Linked DNA regions of Lonchura striata. The protein of the gene in region 1 purifies or fractionates together with the protein of each later gene. This does not show direct contact. Links are inferred from orthologs where the notes say so. Each region holds a gene or a part of one and is shown in the gene's direction. Other genes may lie near its edges.

Evidence for each region.
Region 2: the proteins of GOLGA7 (region 1) and CLDND1 purify together in Homo sapiens (affinity purification with mass spectrometry; 3 studies listed by BioGRID and IntAct, counting the BioPlex papers as one, with this or other methods). This does not show direct contact. The link is inferred for Lonchura striata from reciprocal best matches to the Homo sapiens genes GOLGA7 and CLDND1.
Region 3: the proteins of GOLGA7 (region 1) and ZDHHC5 purify together in Homo sapiens (co-immunoprecipitation; 3 studies listed by BioGRID and IntAct, with this or other methods). This does not show direct contact. The link is inferred for Lonchura striata from reciprocal best matches to the Homo sapiens genes GOLGA7 and ZDHHC5.

Annotation. Positions count from the first base shown.
Region 1 is NC_134634.1:4,769,161-4,772,904, forward strand, and holds the start of GOLGA7 (golgin subfamily A member 7), read left to right. Parts: upstream 1-1,186; 5' UTR 1,187-1,343; coding exon 1,344-1,454; intron 1,455-2,353; coding exon 2,354-2,506; intron 2,507-2,778; coding exon 2,779-2,880; intron 2,881-3,744. UniProt on the Homo sapiens protein: May be involved in protein transport from Golgi to cell surface. The ZDHHC9-GOLGA7 complex is a palmitoyltransferase specific for HRAS and NRAS.
Region 2 is NC_134604.1:24,184,338-24,188,081, forward strand, and holds the start of CLDND1 (claudin domain-containing protein 1), read left to right. Parts: upstream 1-1,159; 5' UTR 1,160-1,255; intron 1,256-3,744. UniProt on the Homo sapiens protein: Plays a role in negatively regulating the permeability of cells to small molecules.
Region 3 is NC_134608.1:53,132,119-53,135,862, reverse strand, and holds the start of ZDHHC5 (palmitoyltransferase ZDHHC5), read left to right. Parts: upstream 1-1,154; 5' UTR 1,155-1,226; intron 1,227-3,744. Other genes in the region: polyribonucleotide 5'-hydroxyl-kinase Clp1, read left to right, coding at 63-734. UniProt on the Homo sapiens protein: Palmitoyltransferase that catalyzes the addition of palmitate onto various protein substrates such as CTNND2, CD36, GSDMD, NLRP3, NOD1, NOD2, STAT3 and S1PR1 thus plays a role in various biological processes including cell adhesion, inflammation, fatty acid uptake, bacterial sensing or cardiac functions.

The DNA of each region.
Region 1 (3,744 bases):
CTGTATTTTTGGGTTTTTAAACATTTTTCTTTTGAAAGCAGCACCCTTTGAAATTCTCAGTTTGTCTGTTGATACACAGATGAAATTCTATTCCTGAATATTTAATGCAAGATAGATATCTCTATTTTCATGTATTCATCATTTTCTTTGTCATGTGGAAGCTTGTGTTCTGAAATACTTTATTTGAGAGCATTACAGAAATGCTGGATGGCCCATACTCAATTTCAAATGCCCTAAATAAAAACTTCTTCAGATCTGGCTTTCCAGAATACCCGTCCCTGCCTAATTCAAACCATACAGGGACGTCTGACTTAGACTCTTTCAAGCCCATAAAATGACACAAATTGGCTTTGCGAGTATATCTCCCACCTTTAGCTATGTCTATAAATTTGATTTGTCCTCTTGCATCTCTACTGCATTAGGTGGCCTGAAAGACTCTGTTTCAAAGTGTCTGTCTGCTCTGAGAGCCACAAGCGTCCATGCTTGGTCAGGCTGGAAAACACTGTGCCCATGAACAGCGAGGGGTCAGTGGCTGCTCAACACCTCGGATTTGCCCATGGCTCTCAGGAAGAGCAGAGTGGCACTGTGTGGCCCCATGGCACCGTCGGCACGAGCACCACAAGCACGAGCACCCCAAGCACGAGCCCCTCCTGAAGGTCGGGTCCCGGAGGATGAGCTCCAGAGGCACAGCCCCAGGACACGGCGCTCGGGGTGAGGCCGTCCCTGCGCTCTCTGCTGCCAGGTTTGCCTTGGCCCGAGGGACCGCTGCTCTCGCTGCCTCGGCAGCCCAGAGCCCTCGGGCAAAGGTTAACGGGCCGCCACCGGACCCCGCGTGCGGCAGCACAGCCAGCTGCGACAAAGCTGCGGGAGCGTCGCTCTGCGCGCAGCGGCTCCGGTTCCTACGAAAAACCATGGAACTGAGGCCCGAGCTGGGAGCGGCGGGCCCGGGACAGGGCCGGGCCCCGGGACAGCCGGCGACTGTGGGCCCGGGCGGTACCAAGTACGCCGGGGGGCCGCCGGGACAGGCGGTGTTGCCGCGGGCCCGGGCGGTACCAAGTACGGCTGGGAGGGAACGGGGGGGGTGTGTCACGTGAGCTGGCCGCGCTTGAAATCAGCCGTACGCCCAATCGGATATGGGTGCTTTTGCACATGCGCGCTCCTGCCGTTCTGCGGGCTCCGAGGCTACACCTGCGCAGTGCCGCGCCTTGTGGCGCCTGGCGGCACTTCCGCCCTCACCCGAGCCCGGCGTCGCCTCGGTGGTTTTGCGACAGCCGTAAGTGCGCGGGGCGGCCGGCGGAGCGGCGGGACCGGACGGGACCGGACGGGACCGGGGCGGCGGCGCAATGAGGCCGCAGCAGGCGCCTGTGTCGGGCAAGGTGTTCATCCAGCGCGACTACAGCGGTGGGACGCGCTGCCAGTTCCAGAGCAAGTTCCCGGCCGAGCTGGAGAACCGGGTGAGGCGGGGCGGACGGGGGCTGGCCCGGGGCTCGCGGCGAGCGCGGCGCACGGAGCCTGCACGCCGGGCGGGACCAGGCCGGGCCTTACGGGCCTGCGCCCAGGTGGCGTTCGCAGGTGCCCTGCCTCGGTCGGAGCTGGTCCCGCGGGTTCCCCGAGGGCCGGGGTAGCATCTCCTGCAGGAATCTGACCGAACCGCTCAGGCGCAGGAGCGGACGTGGTTCCTTCCTCGTGTCCCGGTCCCGGACTCTGGTCAGTCCTGGGGAAGGTGGCTGGTTTGCAGTAGAGCAGAATGTACTCGTTGTGTTTGTGCGAATAGAGTCGGGTCTGTTCTCTCAGGTGATAGCATTGTCCTCTCCCTTGAAATCCTACCCGTCCTGCCCACTCAGAAGCCTCACAAACGCTGTTTCAAGTACTTACGTTTTGGTCAGTGCTATCAGATGTGGGCTCTTAAGCTGACAGTCAAACAAACACGCCTTCCTACCCCATTTTCTTTCGCTCGCTCGGCTTTTCTCTCTTCCTTGTTCCTTTGTTGTGGGTACGTTTGGTCAGCACTGCAGCAGCACCGAGGCACTGAGGGTGTGGAGTGTCCCTCCACGCTCGCCTGTTCATTTTAACCCATCACATCCCTGGGTGTGAATTCCGGTTGTTTCACAGCTGAATTGCACATTAGCTTAGGAGTGTTGCTCTGAATGGTTTTGTGTCCACGTTGTGTTTGACTCGGACTCAGCCTGAGCACAGGAAGGTGTCTGACAAAGAGCTGCAGGTGTGTAACTCTGCGTGCTCCAGGCTGCGGCTCTGAGTGCAGTGCAGATGATCCCTGAGTGGAGGTGGATGTACAAGGCTACTGGTGAGTTCTGCAGTGTGCACCTGACAGCCCCACTTGCTTTTCTTGCAGATTGACAGGCAGCAGTTTGAGGAGACAGTCCGGACACTGAACAACCTCTATGCAGAAGCTGAAAAACTTGGGGGCCAATCTTACCTGGAAGGCTGTCTCGCCTGCCTGACTGCCTACACCATCTTCCTGTGCATGGAGACACACTATGAAAAGGTAAATGCTTGTTTCCCTTTCATCCTGCAGGCAAGAACTTGGGTCCTGGTGGGTTTCCTGTGACTTGCAATGTTCTGGTGCAGATGCTGTATGGATGTAACTCAGGCGTGCTGGTACTGGTCACTTTGGGTCCCATGGGGGGCACCCTGAATCCAGGCAAGTGCCTGCACTGTCGAGCCATCAGAGCAGTTGTGTGTCAGTTCTCACCTTGCCGTAGCTGTGATACTGTTTGAAAGGAAACAGTTGTGACTTCTGTGCTGTTTCATTGCCAGGTTCTAAAGAAAATTGCTAAGTTCATTCAGGAACAGAATGAGAAGATCTATGCTCCTCAGGGCCTTCTGCTGACAGACCCCATTGAAAGAGGATTAAGAGTTGTATCCTTCTCTGGTTTCTGACATTGTCTCCTGCCTTGTGCTCCTCGTTTGTCTCAGTGAGGCACCTCTGCTCATGCTCGATCTGTGATACAGAATGGGTGATTAATCTTGTTGCTTTTTGTTGTGTCCTGGTCCCTAGTCAGGTTTTAGTATGTTAAGGTTTGGTGCGTGCAAAGCCCATAAAGATGTGGAACCCAACCTTTGTGCCTGCCTGGAAAGAGCGCTCAGGATCCTGCCTCTATTCCAGTAATGTCCAGAAATGCTGTTTTTCTGACTGGGGAAAGAAGTGACCATGTTGGTAGGACAGAAATGGATGTGATAACATCAATTTACTTAATGTGCAACCCTCAGCTGAGGTTTTGGTGAAGATCTTGACATACAACATCACTGCAAGCCTGGCACTTGCTCTTGCTTCCAGTATGGCTTATTTCAACCCTTTTTCTTCAGCCGTTGAGCCACACTGAAGACATTTTGTGTGGTTATTGCCTGAAGTTGTAAAGACCTCTCATAGCAAATGGGGAAGTATAATGAGTAACACAGCTTTCTTTGAAAATCTTGAAACCACAGTAACTTGAAACCCAATGCCAATTGAATGTATGATGAGGCTAATTCGTTGAAGTTGGGTTTTCTGTGTCCTTGTCCATGTAGCTCAGAGCTGTCACCTACATGACTTCTTTTTTCTCAGTGTGTTTTTCCATTGTGTATACACCTTCTGGAAAGAAAAAAAAAACAACCAACATTCAATTTGAGTAAAAGCATTTTCAGTTTGGTAGGTGACTTATTAGCAGTATTAACTTTTTTTGCTCGGCGCACAGCCTTCCCCATGAGTTCCTGCGCAGGCCCTGGGCTGGGAGCCCGTGCTCT
Region 2 (3,744 bases), on another chromosome or scaffold:
CGGCGCCGCACGGGGAGAGCAGGCACGCTCTGGGGGCGGGAGCTGCCTGGGGAGGAGGACAAGGGGTCCCCAGCCCGGCCGGGGATGCTCAGGGAGGCGGGAGTCGGGCAGGAGTGGCTGGAGGAAGGGAGGAGCAGTTTTACAGCCATAATCCCACTCTTTGGTGAGGCTGGGACAGGTAAATTCTCCCCGGGGCCGCCTGACCCCGTGGAATGGGAAGCGGGTTTCAGCACGGGCCGGGCTGGGGCTGAGAAGCTGCAGCTGGGGAGGGTGGGGAGGGCTTGAATGTTGTTTCCGTAATACACAGAAAGTTTTTCGCATGTGTTTGTTTGCTTACCTGAGCGCTCACCCGAGAGGTGGGGGTTCCTTTCATCTGGGTGTGTAGTGACCACGCTGTACTTTGCAGACCCAGGGTTATTTTTTTTTTTTTTTTTTTTTTTTTTTTTTTTTTTTTTGTGGGGGAGAAAGGGTGTGCCGGGTTAGATAATCCCATGTTGCAGATTTCTTTATATTTAGATTTGGAGGTGATATGCGATTCATGTAAGGCCACTTCTCAAAGTGTTTCTTTGTGAAATGTTTCTTAAAATGTTTATGGGTTTGCTATTCAAAAACCTAGAAAATTGCAGCACAATTCCATACTGTTTCAACAGTACCTGTGATAAAACTGCTTTATTAAAGTTTCCCAGTGCCATAACATGGTGGTGTTCAGATGTACACCACAGCATCAGGTACACACTGTGCCTCGTGGGAGAAGCATTAACCTGCTCACTGACATACAGGAGTGTATCTGGAAATGGTTTAAAGAACATTTGCTATCAACCCTGACATACACTGATTCCTGAAGATCTTAACAGAAGAAATATTTACAAGTACAAGCTGCTGTACATGTCAGTGAAGAGCTCAGATTGTTTATACTCACCTTTATATCCAGAGCTTCCTATCTCCAGGTTTACAGTAGCATCCTTGTTGAACGGGTTCAAATCTTGGTTTTGGGGCTATTTTATTCTCAGTTCACTTGGGAGAAAAAAACTTCAGATGTGAGAGAAAATATGTGGGTGACCCAGTATTTGAATACAAGTGGATTAAGTTCCCTACTTAGAAAAAATACTTCAAGACGGTTATTTTTTCCTGATTGTAACATTTTCTCTTCTTTCCAAAGGCTTCACTGTCTCTTGCATTTCTCGGTGGTGCCTGATATTAAAAGTGCTGCCAGTGAAGGATTGCTCTCTTTGGAGTGAAGCACAGATCCCCCCAGGTAATCTTTCCTTCAGCAGCCTTCGCTTCCTTCCAAATGCTGTGCTCAGATCGGCTTTGACGCTTGGAGGGCACAGGACTGTAAAACAGCCAACGTGGCTGTGTGACCTGCAGGAGTAATCTGTTCTCAGCTGTGGTCAATTAAATCCAAAGTTTTGTTGTTTTGTTTTTGGTTTTGTTTCTGTTTGGTTTCTTTTTTTTTTAAGGAAGTAAACCCACAAAAACCAAACCTTTTTAATGGCCACTGGCTGTTTTGTCCTTAGTTTAATGCTGCCTTTTGTCAGTTAAACTGCCACTGAGGCTGTTGGCTAATTCAGCATTTTAAGTTGTCCATATTTCTGAGCTGCCTTGCTCAGCATGAAAGTGGGAAGCCTCCTATTTCTTCTTTTTGGGTGGCAAAAATAGTTGGAGCTACATACAATTATTTTAGCAATCTGAGTAGCTAATTAAACCTTTTCTGGTCACGAAAAGGCTTGTGGTTTTTAGATTTCAAATGAGCTTTTATTATTCTAATTATAAGGTTGACTTGATAGAAGTCCTATTTTGTAAAAATAACTGGTAGACTTTGCTGGAGGGAGAAAATTATAATTTTATTTGGAGTTACCCATTTTTCCAAATAGTACTTTGATACTCCAGAAAAAGAAAATCTATTATATAAAATCAACATGTGTACACATGACACATAATACTTATCTATTTATTGGGAAGCAATACTTCGTCCAAAACAGTCATTAATCTGATTAGCTGTGTTTCTAAAAACAGCCTTTGTTCGTATAAACTCCATTCTTCTTCTTTGGACTTCTTAATAGCAGTTAGGTTTAAAAATTTTCCACTTCAGTTGTAAGTGCAGTTTGCTCCATCATATATTATTGAGGAGGGTTCACTGTGGGGGTGAGGGAGAGAGGAAAAGAAATATTTCTCTGTTGAATTGACTCACCATAGGTCAGTAATTTTTGCTAGTTCATGTGCAGTGTTAGAAATATGGTGCAGGCAATTGTCATCTGTAAACCTAGAGAAAAATTATTGTATCCAAAGACAAAAGACAAGAACACTAGGGGTACTGTTAGAAGTTTTTTGGGCAGCTCATTGGCAGCTATCCACCATAGAGGGCTGGCAGGTAATGAAGACATTACAGACTTATAACATGTAAAATCAAAATATGGAGCATGAATACAGAAAGTACTTCAGTCCTTGACGCATATTTTCCCCCACAGGGTACCAGGGTTTATGACTGACTCCCTTGATGAAGCAAATCTCAGACCTGACTTAAATAACTGAGTAAAAAAAAAACCCTGGTTTTGAAGTGCCTAAATTGGTATGTGGCAGCATGGCTGTTCCCTGAGTGGACTGACTATGTGTGATGCTAATAGGTGGCTATATCCTCAAAACCCTTCAGCTTTCCTTTTAAAGGAATGATTATTTCCCTTCCAGCATGTGCAAGGAAAGTGTGTGGCTAAAGGGTAAACCTACAAGTTAAAAAGCAAATAAAAGGAACCTCTGAATAGATTTGGCATGGCATCTCATAATTTTCAGTGAATTTTGTGAGTTCTGAGGACAAAGGATGGCTACCTACCCTTATGGGTTTTGACAGATACATGTGAAAAATAATCTGTTAAGTGTGTGCTCTTAGTGAACCAGATGACTGCCTGCAGTCAGGTTTGCTTTTTTCAGATAAAAAGGAAGAAGATGCATGTCACTGTTTGTCCTCTCCATGAACATGAAAAACCTGGTAGTTATCCTGCAAAAAAGGATAACTATCTGTTTACTGGTACTAAGTTAGCAGACACTTCAGCTGTTGTGTTTTTACACTACAGTTTATCCTGTCCTTACAGCCACAAGGGAAGAGCAGGGAACAGAGATGCCTAAATCACCATGACCTTGTCCTACACTTCATCCAAGTTGCTTAAAGGCACTTTAAGGAAAGTGCAGCCAGCAGCATCAGGAAATCCAGTCCAGCAGCACAGCTGGGAGCACTGTTTGGATGGCTCCTCTCTCTATGTGAGGCCACAGAATTATGAGTTTCATGGGGCTTCAGAGCTTTTGGAGACCATTAGCATGAATTGTAAGAGACACACTAATCCAGCTGAGTTCATTACTGGGTGGGTAGTCTGTGAGTTAGGCTTTTGGTCTTCTCAGTCAGCCAAACCCCAGTTTTCTTTAAGATAATAATATAAAATTCCAGTTGATTTTCAACAAAACCAGCAGTTTCCATATTGAAAGTAATTGGTATTTATCTGGACAACAGTGGAAATAAGGATTTTTAAGAATCATTAGTCTAGTTCACAAGTAGTTAAAATTAGAAGAGTAGAAGAGTTACCTCTCCTTTATGAATCAGCAGGGGTTTCAGACATTTTTAATAGCCTCAGGAGGGCTGCAGCCTCTTGAGTGGCTGTGCAAAAGTGTGTGTCACAGTACCATCAATGTGGTTGCCAAAACATGACTCCTGGAAACTAGGGGATTATTAGGGTTGTTCAAGGTTTATTCTCTTCT
Region 3 (3,744 bases), on another chromosome or scaffold:
GAAGGAGCTGGGGACAGCGTGGGGACACGGGTGCCTCTGTGTGACCCCTCCTCCTCCCACAGATCACGTCGTGCCTGGCCGACGTCTTCAACCAGCGCTGCGAGGTGAACCGGCGGGCGTCGGTGAGCGGCTGTGTCATCAACACCTGCGGCTGGGTCAAGAGCTCGGGCTACCAGGCGCTGGTGCACGCCGCCTCCGCCTTCGAGGTGGACGTGGTGGTGGTGCTGGACCAGGAGCGCCTCTACAACGAGCTCAAGCGGGACCTGCCCCACTTTGTGCGCACCGTGCTGCTGCCCAAGTCCGGCGGCGTGGTGGAGCGCTCCAAGGACTTCCGCCGGGAATGCCGGGACGAGCGCATCCGCGAGTACTTCTACGGTTTCCGCGGCTGCTTCTACCCGCACGCCTTCGACGTCAAGTTCTCCGACGTCAAGATCTACAAGGTGGGCGCGCCCACCATCCCGGACTCGTGCCTGCCGCTGGGAATGTCGCAGGAGGACAACCAGCTGAAGCTGGTGCCGGTGACGCCGGGGAGGGACATGGTGCACCACCTGCTGAGCGTCAGCACCGCCGACAGCCCCGACGACAACATCTCCGAGACCAGCGTGGCCGGCTTCATCGTGGTCACCGGTGTGGACCTGGAGCGCCAGGTCTTCACCGTGCTGTCCCCGGCTCCGCGCCCCCTCCCCAAGAACTTCCTGCTCATCATGGACATTCGCTTCATGGACCTCAAGTAGGGGAGGGACGGGATGTGCCCCCCGCCTCCTCCTTCTCCTTCTCCTCCTCTTCCTCCCTGAGCCCCCTCCTTGTCCCCCCAGCGCGGTGTGACCCTTTGGTTTTATACTTTTTGTACAGTTTGCTATTAAATCTGGAAGCCTTTGCCGCTGGTGAGCGTCTGCTGAGGGAGGGGTTCCCGAGGGGAGCGGGGATTGCCGGCCCGGGCTCCCCGCGCGCCGGGCCCGGTCCCGGCCGCCCCCTACGGCGCCCACTGTGGTACGTCCCGCGCACGCGCAGAGGCTCCGGCCGTGGCCCCGCCCACCGCGGCGTGAACGCGCACGCCCGCTCCTCTGCCATGCGCATGCGCGCCGCCGCGGCCGGGGCGGGCCGGCGGGAGGCGGCCAATGGAGGCGCGCGGGGGGGCGCGGTGCGCACGCGCGCGCGTGACGTCCCGCCCGCCGCAGCCGCCGCCGTCCGAGCCCGGAGCCGCCGCCGCGCGCGGCCTCCTGCCGGTGAGTCACGTGGGCCGCGCCGCCCCGCCGGGACCCCGCCGCTCCGGCACCGCCGCCGCCTCCCCGGCCCGACGCTCCCTCGCGCCCCTCGCCGCGGCCCGGCCGCCACCGCCCCCGCCGCGCCGCTGCCCCCGCGGCTCCTCCCGCGCGCGGCTCGGGCCGTGCCCCCTCACGGCGCCGCGGACCCTCCTGCCCGCCGCCCCAGCGGGCACCGACCCCCGCCCGGCCCGCCCCTCTGGCCGCGGCCCCGCTCCGCCGTTCCGCACGGCCGCCTGCCCGCTGGCCGCGGTGCCTCTGCACGGGAGCGCCGCTTCCTCCTGCCCCGGCCGCCGTGCCCGCGGCGCCGCCGGCACCGGGACCTCCTCCTGTGCCGCGGGGAGCCGGGCCGGGGGCTGAGGGAGCGGCGGTGCGGGGCTGGCGGGGAGCGGCGCCCCGCGGGCCGGGGCCGCCCCTGCGCACGGTGCGGGGCGAGCGCACCGGAGCGGGGCTCGTTCCCCGCCTGGAAACCGCCCGGGGCCGGGGAGCGGCCGCAGGGAGCCCCCGGGGACTCGTGCGCTGTCCCGCACCCGGCCTGGCCCCGGTGCCCCCGGGAGCGCCGCCCTGCGCTGCTTTGGGGCACCGGAGCTCGGCCCCTGTGCCGCGGTCCAGGGGAGTTTACAGCACGGCCTCTCTTCACGGCACCGGTACCGGCCCTGCTCCGGCTTTGGGCAGCGCTGGCAGCGGTCCAGCCTGGCCTTTCCTCAGCATTCCCAGATTCCCAAAATCCTGAGCTGTGCCGGTCCCCAGCCTCGGGGTTCCGCCCCCCTCACCGCGCCGACTGGGGAGGGGATCGGCTGCCCTGTGCTCCCCGTGGCTCTGGGAAGTGGTTCCCCCGGATCTGCCGGCTCCCGCCCCGGCACTCGGCTGGATTTGGGCTTCAGGGATTCTCCGCACTAGGGGCTGCTCGGGTTTTTTGGGGTGTGTGAAGTACAGCCAGAGCCTTGTCTCTATCAGAGTGGGAGTTATCTTGGAGCTTCTTTCTGAGCTTAATCCAGTTATCACCGTCCTTCCGCCGGGCCCAGGTGCTGCTTTAGCAGGCATTTATTCCCGTTGGTTCCCGAGGCCGGGAGCCCCGTCTGGCATTGGAGAGGGTGGTGGTTGTGTGGGTCCAAGGGGAGACCTTGAACTCCCCTGCGAGGGGCCTGTTTGGGGACATTCCCACCTGTTGCTGTGCCCGGTGTCTCCTAACACAGTGACAAGAGGCTGGCGCTGTCCTTGCTGCTGTGGGGCCCGTTGGGATGCGGCCTCAATGGATAAGGCATTGTTCCTCCTGCTTTGCCCATAAAATGGGGCTAATCCCCTGTAAACCAGAGGGATGGGCTGGGGAAGGAGGATGGGAGCGGTGTAAGCCCTGGGCAGGAGATAAGCATGGAGTGATTCCAGCCTTCTGGCTGTCTGCAGTGGAATATTTCTCCATGTTCTGTGTTGACCCTTCTGTACATTCACCTGGGAGAAAGGCGGGTGTGCAGGATGCCCCTGGAGCTGAGGGGTGGCCAAACATACATTGCTGTGCATCCTCCTTTGGAATTAAGAGCAGGGAAGTGTCTCCAGACTGCTCTGCTGGGGCAGGTGCTCTGGTTTGGACACAGGGCAGTGACCAGTGGGGATCTCACACTGGCATTGCTCTGGCCACAGTGCCAGGTTTGGGAAAATTTGCACTTCCTCTGATGGATTTTGGAGTGTGAAGTGTTAGCTGGTCGTACAGGACAGGGTGAGCAGAGGGAGCTGCAGAGGGAGGTGGGAGGTCCTTGTTCCCTGGATGCCCCTCACTCATGGTGCCAGGCAGCGAGCTCTGGAATGGCTCTGTGGAATTTTGGGGTGCAGCCAATCAAAACAATGTGGGAACAGGTGAAGCACATCCCATCTCCGTGCAGCTGGGATCTGCCCTGTCTGGGAGTTGCCTCACGTGGAAGGAATTGTTTGTGTGTTTGCCCTGTGCCATGGGAACTCGGCTGGACCGGGGTGGGTCGGGAGCTGCGGATCCCAGCGGGCGGCGCAGGTTTGGGAGCCGGTAACCGGGAGGGAACTCTGTCCTGCCTGTGCCGTGGTGGCAGGAGCCATGGTGGTTGATGCATTTCCTCCTTCCTGGACGGGAGCAGAGTGAGGAGCTGAAGTGAGGGTGGAGGGAATGTTGGGAGTTGGAGACACGTGTGTCCCCATCACAGCAGAGGTGTGGAGCGCCTCATGCTCCAGAAAGGAAAAAGCATGGAGCACCTGTCTACATGTGGGAAGGCTGGAGAGGGGCTGGAGCAGATGAGCAGAGTGGGGTGGGAAGCAGGGAAGGAGGAGCACAGGGCTGGGAGGGGAGGAAAAGGAGGAAATCTGTGAGGCTTTACAGGGCCTTGAACCAAGAAAAGGAGACACAGGCTCAGAGAAATGGAAGGTGGCAGCAGTCGTGCTTGCACTTATCTTGAGGGAGGGGATTTGGAATTAAAAGAAATCCCCAGAAATGGAGATGAAGCAAACAGGAGCAGCTCCC